3 linked regions of the Alligator mississippiensis genome follow. The protein of the gene in region 1 binds, or shares a complex with, the protein of each later gene. Links are inferred from orthologs where the notes say so. Each region holds a gene or a part of one and is shown on either strand. Other genes may lie near its edges.

Region 1 (2,927 bases):
AAATTAAGAGGGAGCGGCAGAGGGGGGGGGGGCAAGCCGAGAACCCCCTTTAAGATTTCAAAACCATAACCTGGGGAAGGGGGTAGGGCGCCTCTGTTTGGTTTGCTCCTTCTCTTAGGTATACTTCTTAATCCATGAACCAGACTTTTTTTTGCAGACCCCCCCCGAAGAGTCAAAGTGTAAATCTAAACCTAGTTTAAACCACTTTGTAACCTTCTTAACTCCTAAAGCCAGCACAGGCCCAGGGGCACATGCTCATTTAGCTCCTACGTGCCTTTCAGGGCAGAGCACACCAGTTCCTCCTTGACTTAAACTAACCCCAGACGAGCCTGACTTTGACCAGGAGCGTCTACACAGCCCCGTTTCATGGATCTGCCTAAACCCACCAATTCTTGCACATCAGGTGGCCATAACTCAAGGGTGACGGGAGCTAAACGATATGAACCAGGCCGCAGGCTGCCTTACTGCAGGCACCCCCTGCAATCCTGTTCAGCCAAATAAAGGGGCAAGGCTTTTGTACTACAGAGCGGCTGGACGGGCTCTGGGGCACCAAGAATGGCCCTCCCCTCCCCAGGGCTAGTACTAATGCTGGGGCGCGGGCCTGGCGCTCCTCCCTGCGCAGCAAAGTGCCCCACGTGCAGCCCAGGCCACAGCCCACCTGCAGAGGCCCCGCAAGCGCAGTGGCAGGGCGCACGCTGCCCCTGCCACCACCCGGGATCGTCACCACGCAACCCCGCCCCACTCTGGGTGAGGGCAGCAGCCTCACGACACTAACGCGCATGCTCGCTGTTGGCGGCGTTCTGATCCCGTCACGCCCCAGCCCTGCGTCGGGCGCGAAGGGCGGGGGCGTGCCCCTTCTCCGTGCCCGTAGCCGGTGGGCGGGGCCGTGCCTCAGCCCCGGAAGGAAGCTCCGCTCTGCCGAGCCGGAGTTGTATGACCCGGCACGATTCCGCCGCCGCCAGCAGCATGTTCCGCATCGAGGGGCTAGGGCCCAAGATGGACCCGGAGGAGCTGAAGCGGAAGATGCGGCGCGATGTGCTCACCTCAGTCCGCAACTTCCTCATCTACGTGGCGCTGCTGCGTGTCGGTAAGGGGTGGCGCGGCCACGTGCGCGGGGCTCGGCCTGGGGCTGCTGCCCCCCTGGCCCGGGCAACTCCTGTGTAGCTCAGCCAGGTGTTAAGTACGAAACGATCGTATTGGAAGTCCCCAAATGATCGTGTTTGCTGAAAATACCCTGCCAATAAGCCTCTTCCTACTGATTCCATATCGGTCACTGTATGTGGCCAGTGAGCAAGTGAGATCGGGGTCGTGCAAGTTGAAGCATTTCTTTATTTTGAGGTGAGCTCACAAGGAAGGGTTGGCAGCACACCCAAAAGTCAGTTAAGACTCCTTGAGAGTGACGTGGGTTTTACATGTGCTGCATCGATGAGCTGCCTCAAAATTATCGTGCGTGTTGAACAGTTACTGATCGTACATCGTACAAGGGTTGGAATGATCATACAGATATGATAATTATTGTACACCTGGCAGCACTGCTCAGATAAGTCCTGCCCCACGGGCTCTGGTTGCAGTGCGCACACAGCCCAGGGCTTGCAGCTGTTTATAAACCTGCTCATTTGCACTTAGTTTATATCTTGGCTGTCCTGTCTCTTTCAGCTCCTTACATCTTAAAGAAGCTGGATAGTATATGAATACAGAAGAGCTGCAAAGAGGAGGCTGGGTACATGAAAACACAAAATGGACAGTGGCTGCTTTTCCCTTTTAAGAAGCGTGGTGCCAAGGTCAGACTTCACCTGTGGAATGGATCTGGAAAATGATTATGTTAAACATTTGACTTTGAGAACAGGAGCCTAGCTTGAAGTATGGAAAAATGGTTATTATCCCTGCAGCTGACTCGAGGTCACACAGTGCTCCTGTGTGTCTGCATACAACTTTTTTTTTTTTTTTAAAGATTATGTTGGTACCACTCATACTGTATGTTTAAAAATTGTATCGAACTCCATATTTTTTTTAGAAAGTGTTAAATGTAAGCAAACTGTTCTGGAGCTACCTCTGAAATATCACAGCTGTGGCTGTCAATCTTACTGATCCTGTCTCCATGTGAAGATTAAAATGGTTTGAACCCTGAAACTAGTAAAACCACCGGGGAGAAGCTGTTAACTTGAATCCAGTTCCCTATGGATTTTTGTTGTTGAAATAAAATGGAAGAACAATTCTGTTATTTCAGGCACAGTCCAGTAGTGCTCTATTTTTAATAAAATCAGTTCCATAAATGTCCTGGGATCTTGTATTTACTCTGGGCCATTGTCTCCTTTAAACATATTTTCCTCTTGCAAACAGATTGAGAGAAATAAGAGAATGAAATTGGCAGGGCAAGGAGCACTCATCGTACTTCCGTGTAGGACAGTTCATGCCCTCCAGAGTTTACAGTGTAAGTAGACTATACTCGTAGTTGGTAGATGGAGAGAAAGGAGGTGACCTGCCAAATTCACCTCCTGGCCTATGTCAAAGAATCCTAGAAAAGCATGCCTGGAAGGGGGGACCCTTCATAGCCCCTGCTCAGGGGAGGAATCTGTTTGTAAATCAATTTATATACGTGTTTGTTTAACTTAGTTGTAAATCTATGCAACCCCCCTGCTCGACTATGGGGCGCACGTGAACAATCCCAGGAAGAGGACCATGCCCCATGCTACACTGGAAGGCAACACTCCCCCACAATCCATACTTATTTGACTGGGATAAAATGCTTTTCTGACCCCAAATATAGTGATTGGTTTGACCTTGAATTGAAAAGCAAGATCCTCTAATCAGTAATCCAGGTTTTTTTAGTCCCAACAGAGACATCTGCCTATCCTAGTCAACATCCCTACTCTTAGCTGCAGCCCACACCAAATGCTTCTGTCCTAGTCCACTAGATCGTGCTGCTG
Region 2 (3,754 bases), on another chromosome or scaffold:
GACAGTGCACGGTGCGCACAGTGACACAGCGCAACACATGGGGCAGTGCATGGTGCGCACAGCCACACAGCGCAACACACAGGACAGTGTACAGTGCGCACAGCCACACAGCGCAACACACAGGACAGTGCACGGTGAGCACAGTGACACAGCGCAACACAGAGGACAGTGCACGGTGCGCACAGCCACACAGCGCAACACACAGGGAAGTGCATGGTGAGCACAGTGACACAGCGCAACACAGAGGACAGTGCACGGTGCACACAGCCACACAACGCAACACACAGGACAGTGCACGGCGCGCACAGTGACACAGCGCAACACACAGTGCACACTGTAGTAACACAGAGCAGCATTCAATGCAGAGTAACACAGGCACAGCCTGCACAGCCCGCACAGCTACACAGAGCTGCGCACACCTGATGTGCACGACAAGCACACAAGGAAACCGAGTTGACACTGCCTGGCTGGGGCTGCACACACACACACACACACACACACACACACACAGATATATAATATATATAATATGCTTTAGATATATAAAATGTGTGTTATATGTTATATAAAATTTAGAGTGTATATATAAATATATATATTATATATACATGATATATATAATTATATATAATATAGATAGTATATATATAAATATATAAATTATATATATATATATACATATATAATATATAATTATATATAAAATATATATACATATATAAATATATACATTATATATATAAATATATATACATTATATATATAATTCTATATATGTAGTATATACTATATATTTATAGTACTACTATAAATAGTAGTACTATAGTATTTACTATATATATATATATATATATATATAGAACATATCTGTTTATATATATTTTATATAATTTTATATATATATTATGTATATCTCTATATCTCTCTCTCTGATAGATATAAAAATAACAGACACACGCACACGTGTACACACACGTGCTGACACGCCTCCCACCTCGCTCCACGCCCAGCCCGTCGGGCCCCGCCCCGCCCCGCCCCGCACACGTCACAGCGGGGGGCGGGGCGGGGCGAGGCCGGGCCGGGGGCAGGCGAGCGGCGATGTCGGTGCGGCGGGCGCTGTGGCGGGGCGCGGCGCTGTGGCGGTCGCTGGTGCAGCGCTGGGGCCCGCGGCGGCACGTGCTCCTCGCGCCGCCGCCCGCCCGCCGCCTGCCGCCCGCCCCGCCGCGCCGGGGCCTGGCGCCGGGGCCGAGGCCTGGGCTGGGGCTGGGGCTGGGCCGCGGGCCGGGGCTGGCGCTGGGCCTGGCCTTGCTGCAGCAGGGGCTGGACGAGCAGCGCCGGGCCGCGGGCGCCTGCAGCCGCATCCAGGTGCGGGCCGGGCCGGGCTCCTGTCCCCTCTGCTCCCCCCTGCCCCGCCCCGCCCGCTCCTCCTGCCTTCGCGTTTACTTCATCGCTTTAGTTAAACTAGATTTCACCGATGTTATTTCTTTATTTATTAGGGTCAGAAGGGAGCTTGGCAGGTCATGGAGTCCGAGCCCCTGCCCTGGGCTTGGTGCTTGTCCAGTCTCTTGAAGGCCCCCGGGGTGGGAGAGTGCACCACCTCCCTGGGAAGCTCATTTTGGCAACACTCGCTGAATGTTTTCCTAATGTCCATCCAAAAGTGCTCCCCGCCAGTTTGTGGCCGTTGTTCCTAGCAGCTGCAAGGGGCGTCTCCTCTTCCTTGCTGCCCTGTGAATTTGTAGACAGCTGCAAGATCCCCTCTCAGCTTGCTTTTGCAGAGGCTGCAGAGATGCAAGTCCTTCAGTCTCTCCCCGTAGGATCTAACCTGCAGGCCCATAACCATGCGAGCGGTCCTCTGGGCCGTCTCCAGGTTATCTGCATCCCGTGTGCGGTGCGGTGCCGTGTGGCGCCCAGACCTGGACGCCGTGCTCCCGCTGTGGTCTGCCCAGCGCTGCACAGAGGGGAAGTGTCACCTCCCTGCACCTGCTCGTGATGGCTTCATCGCGTTGACGACTCCTGTTCGTTTTGGAGTCAGCCGTGACTCTGAGATCACTAGTGTGACTGTGAGCCTGGCGGGGCCCAGACTGTGATCACATCCAACTGCACACCTCTGATTGCAGGATTGGGACCTTTATTCCCTTGCCTTTTTTAGGCACGCTTCCTTCTTTAGCATCGTCTTCATTTCTGATTCTGTGCACCCTCCACCTCCTCTTCTTTCCATGTTTCTCTAGATCCATCCCTGCTCATTTTCCCCTCGCTGATTCCCTCCTCTAACTAACCAGCTGGCAGTTTCAGCTGCTATAAAGCTCCAGGCCTCTTTAGTCCATCTGCCTTTCCTCTTAATCAGGTTTTCTTTTAAACATTACTTTATGGAGTTGTGCAGAGAGGGAGGTAAGCACAACGTTAAATCCTCTTTTATGGGGATCTCGCCACCTTTCTCTGCAGAAGTTATCGTGTAGATGAACCAAGTGTTTTTCCCCCTCTTGTGTTCAAACGTGTATTTGTCTACGCTACAAATTGAGACTTGTCTGCGATAAAAGACTTGGTGGGTGATGGAGTGTCAGTTAGCTTGAACGTATTTTCGATATAACTTGGCGTAGTGAGCTGTGTGTGTACTTCAATAGAAAGTCTGTATTCCATATTTGCAATGTGGTCGTAAGCCCTTATTCAGCTTGTTTTCTATCTCTGCAATGGACTGGGTGTGAAATTTTGGGCAAACCCCCATATAAGTTAGTAAAAGATTTGCCCCAATAGTTAGTAAAATTTCCCCAGTGTTAGACATAACTTACGCTGGTTAAAAAAAAAAAGTGTTTGGCTACAACCAGCACTTTCATGCCAACATAATTGCATTTGCCATAGGACTTTTGTAGTCCTAGAGGTGTTGCAGAAAGCCCCTACACCTCTGGTCCCTTCTACCAACAAGCAATTCTCGAGACCTGGCTGTGACCACATTTAAACTGGATAATAACCCCACCAGGTTAGTGGGAGGGTTGACATAAAGATCTCGGAGGGTTAACATTAATAAAGAAAGGATGCTAGAGAAGCAAAGAGTACCACCAATCATTAAATGCTTGCTTTATTCCTGAATGCTAATTTGAAATGTCCAAATTGATTGAGTTGATATTTGTGGATTGGGTTTTCTGTGCTCCAGTAGGCTCTAGTTTAAAGTGCTGGAATATGTAAAGGTTTTCATTTGACAACTGTGTTGACCTTTTAGTATGGGTCCTGGCATGAACACTCTTGAGCACACCCTGTAACTTCCGTAGCAAAATAGCTCTGCTTTTTGAATTATTGAGTAATTCTTGCATTCTTTGCAGACAATATTTGTCAGGAAGAACAAGCCGCTGAAAGATCCACTGAGCTGTTTCCGCTGGCAGGGCTTCAAACTGGAAGAGTACCGCATTGGCCAGCCCATTGGGAAAGGATGCAGCGCAGCTGTCTATGAAGCAGCGATTCCTTTAACTTCCGGCTGGGGCCCGGATCCACGGCGGGCCCATGGCTCGGCTGTTGAGGCTGCCGAAGAAAACCCTACACAAGCGACCCAGCAAAATACCTCTTTCCCATTAGCAATCAAAATGATGTGGAACATTTCGGTAAGGAAGTAGGTTTTATTCTTCTAGTGTGTCACTTGTGAAGTTTGGGTGAAATGTTAACCACCGATGTGTTGAAAGCTCTTAATTATTATGCACATGCTTAATGCGTCAAAACAAAGCTGTCGGTCTATCATTGGAGGAGACTGTTGAAGAACTGTCACAAA
Region 3 (3,754 bases), on another chromosome or scaffold:
AAGGGGAGCTCTGCTCTCTTATGAAAAAAATCAGTGGTCTTGCCAGAAAACAAAACTCTGCAACTGGAGGCTTAGGGAAGGTTTACACTCATCGTTTCAGAAGTCCTGCATGGCTACTTCCTACTCATATGAGCCTTCAACATATAGCCTGTACATTACAAATATCAAGTCCCAACAGTTAATCATGCCATATATTCTATTATTTCTCCTATATTATTTGGGAGACATCTTATGGCATATTTGCCTTAATGGTAGTTGCAACCAGCTAAATTCATTAGCATATCTAACATATACCCAGTTCTTACCCCATGTGGAGAGGGGGCGGGGTGTAGGCACTGAAAACAGATGTGTAGTATCCATATATACAGAAAGTTGTATTAGACAAAGTAGTACCAAAAGGCATGGTTAAAACACAGGCTTGAGAACCTAGAGATCTGAAATTCTTCTCTTCAGTTTTTTTGTCTGAAAAATGGGGGTAATATCTCAAGAAGGCAATATGAAGCTTAATTAATTACTTTTTAATAAAGAACTGAACATGGCTAGTATGTATGCAGTTCAAACAGAAGTAAGAGAGGGAAATTCCCAATAGTACAGCAGGAGTGAGAAGTACTCCTTCTGTTTGCTGACTGGTCTCACAGGTGCAAGCCATTGCACACATTTCTTATAGCAAATTCCATTATTCTGCTTCAGTGAATTAGGGAACCTGGGCTTCTCTGAACCAGGCTCAGTTTTGACAAGAGAGTTCTATTTGCATTTATATATTTACATGTAGTTATTTGAAAGCTCTTATATTTTGTTATCAGAAAATCTTGATCCCTTTAAAAGCAGAAGACTCAGAGTGTCCTTCCTCTTCAAAAAGGCCTTAAAATAGCTCCTCCTACAAGGGGCAAGGTCTTACCAATGTAGACAGCTTAGAATCCCTAGAGTTTTATAGAGCTGCAGCACAGCAGTACTTACTATGCTTGTTCTCTAAGCTATAGGGAAGAATGTTAAGGGATATGGAGATCTCACTAGAAAGGAAAAAGAAGAAGGAAAAGAATCGGTCGTTAAGTAAAAAAAAAAAACAACACAAGAGAAAAAGTAAGTATGTGTGTCCCCAGTTGGCTATTAGCTTCTTCTCTGAAGTTTCTTATTTTCTCATTCTTTTTGCTACAATAGGATCAATTAGAATGGATCATGCCCATACTTATACAAAAGAAGCAAGCAAAATTTACAGTAAGCAGCAGTATTAGTACTTACTACAGAGCCAAAGTGATTCTCCAGAACTAATAGATTTCCCCTAGAAGTGGTGCAAGCACCTACTCTGGATACCTTCAAGAAATACTTGGATGCTTATCTTGCTGGGATGATCTGACCCCAGCTGACTTCCTGCCCTTTGGGTGGGGGCTGGACCCGATGATTTCACGGGGTCCCTTCCAGCCCTAATGTCTATAAAACTAATGGCACAGAGACTTCCCTCAGTTCAGACAGGATGCAGAATTTCAGAGCTCTAGGCCTTCCTGCAGCCACTCTGTTCCTTGAATCCTTCTCTTTCCTACTCCCAAAACTCTGATGACCTACAACATTTTAAAAATCTGCTGCTGTTATTGTGAAGGGCTGGCAACATCTGCATTGGCACCAGTTCAAATTAACTGGTACAAACACCTGAATAGACGCTTATTTTTTTTTTTTAAATGTTTATCTTAAATCTGTTCCCAATTGGGTTAAATTAAAGTGAAGAAGTCTGGTTTAAATAAATTCTCTTGCACCAGTTTAACTAAATTGGTTTAATTTTTTTATCTGTAGCTAACTTGATGCAGCTGAGGTGGTTGACAAGCTCTTAACACAGATCATCTGTTGCGATCCATCTTAACCACACAGCTCTGTGGGGTTTTTTAGGTGTCTGGGGTGGGGTTTTTTTCTTGCCTTTGGATTGTCTTGATTATTGATAAATGCAAGTTTGAATTAGTGCTTTATTGTTAATTTATTATATTTGTATTCAACTTTAACTCCAGCTTCGTTTTACATGCTTAGCATGATGGATATGCAGACCTTATGACTAAGCTAGTAAATTTTCATATCAACTTTACAATGTGGCTTCTGTGATCACTTTTTCCACCAAACCCAGGCAGGTTTCACTGACAGCAGCCTTGTGCACCCTGACAAAGACTTGCAGTGTGTGTATGTAAAGTGGTGCTGACTAAGAAATACAGGCTGTAGGAAATGTGTGAATGGTAAAGATAGTTGAGGCAAAAGTAAGACCGTATACACATTGGTGAGTATTTACAGAATGATGGTATCAGAACTAGCCAAACTCTGAGAGGGCTACCTACTTATGTACTTTTTCCTTTCATGGCATATCACCACTGTAGCTCCAGTGACCATCCCCTTCTCTTGGAGATTTAGGCAATGAGGGGTGGTTGAAGGGTTTTGATCTCTTTATGCTAGCATGTTGATACAAGGGAGTGTGTGCGTTCTTTCTTCAGATACAGTGTATATAACATCTAGTAAGCCAGATGATTCATTATTGTTCCATAAGGGTGGGGCGGTAATTACTTGTATTTTTAGATTCCTTAAAATGATGCCAAAACATAACTAAAGTTTTAAGTTCTGAATTCGGGAAGGTACATTGTCCATTTTATATAAATATATTCTGAATGAATAATGGCTTTGAACAATGGACTGTTATAGGCAACAATCAGTATTTTACTTTAATAAGACCCCTATTTCTAATGTATAGTCCAACCAGTACTAAAGCATACTGATTTTTCTCATTCCCTTTTCATCCCAATTTCCGTTCCCTCTTTTTGTATGTTCTCTCATGAGGAATTCGCCTAACTTCTGCTATACAATACTTATCTTCTGTGTCTAAATGTACTAATCTGTGGGGGCTTGGGGGGTGAAAGCATTTCTGTTGGAAGGGGAAACTGCATTGAGGCATGTCTTTGCATGCCACTTTATGGGTGCTGAATACTTCATACCCTACTGCCAAACTGCTCTTTGGCCCACTATTGCACTAGTGACTCAATGATTTCAGCTGTAAGGAGTGTCATAAGGCACGTTGCACTACACTGACTGCTGCAGAACAGTCGTGTGATACTCCGTCTAGCTATTTTCCACAAGGGATCTCCTCAGCCATCAGAGAATCGCTGCAAAAAGTTTTTTGTTTTGTCAGCATCCTGATTTTCTTTAACAGTTTATGGTAATTTAGGACTAAAACTTGTAAGCGAAGAATCCTAGCCAGAATATATACACATTCCAGAAAAGACTGAGGACATCTGCCTTACATGATGTGTAAGTGCACTAGCAGTATCAGGGCACCCACTTTTCATGGTGGGAAATCAGGACAGCGTAGGAGGGCATCCAGAGCGTGGTGCTAGCGAGGTGTAAGGGTTAACACAGTTAACACAGAAGGCTTTTGGTGCTGGAGGCGAGGGAGAACTGTGCAGTAGGGATGGTGAGAAGGAGGGTGGCAGTAAGACAGGCCAGAGGCAAGCTTGTAATCCTTAAACTACATGTTTATTAGTGATCTCTGGTTTAGCTCCCTACAGCTCCTTCCTGTTGCTCCTAGGTGCAGCCTGACTTCTCTGTGTATGCCTAAAAATAAATGCAATGACCAGATTTTAAAGCAAAACCAAGAAGTCCTGGGTTTATTTTGTTTCACCCCCTTCTGCCCTTCCCCGACCTTTGACTCCCCGTGAGGGGACAGGGCCATCATTTGGGTAATGTTTTAGGCCCGGTGCCGATGGGCGCTTGCTTATCTTCATTTAAGGCT

What was found.
Region 2: the proteins of TOMM5 (region 1) and PINK1 are in contact, whole or in part, in a cryo-EM structure (PDB 9EII), measured with the Homo sapiens proteins. The link is inferred for Alligator mississippiensis from reciprocal best matches to the Homo sapiens genes TOMM5 and PINK1. Residues at the interface, in NP_001001790.1 of Homo sapiens: Met1, Phe2, Arg3, Ile4, Gly6, Leu7, Ala8, Lys10, Leu11, Asp12, Pro13, Glu14, Met16, Lys17, Arg18; in NP_115785.1 of Homo sapiens: Gln484, Ala488, Gln491, Ser495, Lys496, Pro498, Val502, Lys520, Leu522, Lys523, Leu524, Met527, Glu565, Cys568, Gln569, Ala571, Leu572, Leu573, Cys575, Ser576, Trp577, Ala579, Ala580.
Region 3: the proteins of TOMM5 (region 1) and VDAC2 are in contact, whole or in part, in a cryo-EM structure (PDB 9EII), measured with the Homo sapiens proteins. The link is inferred for Alligator mississippiensis from reciprocal best matches to the Homo sapiens genes TOMM5 and VDAC2. Residues at the interface, in NP_001001790.1 of Homo sapiens: Ile25, Arg29, Leu32, Ile33, Ala36, Arg39, Val40, Phe43, Ile44, Lys47; in NP_001171752.1 of Homo sapiens: Val38, Thr60, Gly63, Asp239, Tyr258, Gln260, Thr261, Leu262, Leu268, Leu270, Val286, Leu288.

What each region holds. Positions count from the first base shown.
Region 1 is NC_081826.1:147,975,067-147,977,993, reverse strand, and holds TOMM5 (mitochondrial import receptor subunit TOM5 homolog), read left to right. Parts: upstream 1-819; 5' UTR 820-933; coding exon 934-1,087; intron 1,088-1,656; coding exon 1,657-1,691; 3' UTR 1,692-2,273; downstream 2,274-2,927.
Region 2 is NC_081836.1:5,554,820-5,558,573, forward strand, and holds the start of PINK1 (serine/threonine-protein kinase PINK1, mitochondrial), read left to right. Parts: upstream 1-1,084; 5' UTR 1,085-1,098; coding exon 1,099-1,365; intron 1,366-3,314; coding exon 3,315-3,590; intron 3,591-3,754. UniProt on the Homo sapiens protein: Serine/threonine-protein kinase which acts as a sensor of mitochondrial damage and protects against mitochondrial dysfunction during cellular stress.
Region 3 is NC_081829.1:27,930,558-27,934,311, forward strand, and holds the start of VDAC2 (voltage-dependent anion-selective channel protein 2), read left to right. Parts: upstream 1-983; 5' UTR 984-986; coding exon 987-1,080; intron 1,081-3,476; exon of another isoform or gene 3,477-3,576; intron 3,577-3,664; exon of another isoform or gene 3,665-3,754. UniProt on the Homo sapiens protein: Non-selective voltage-gated ion channel that mediates the transport of anions and cations through the mitochondrion outer membrane and plasma membrane.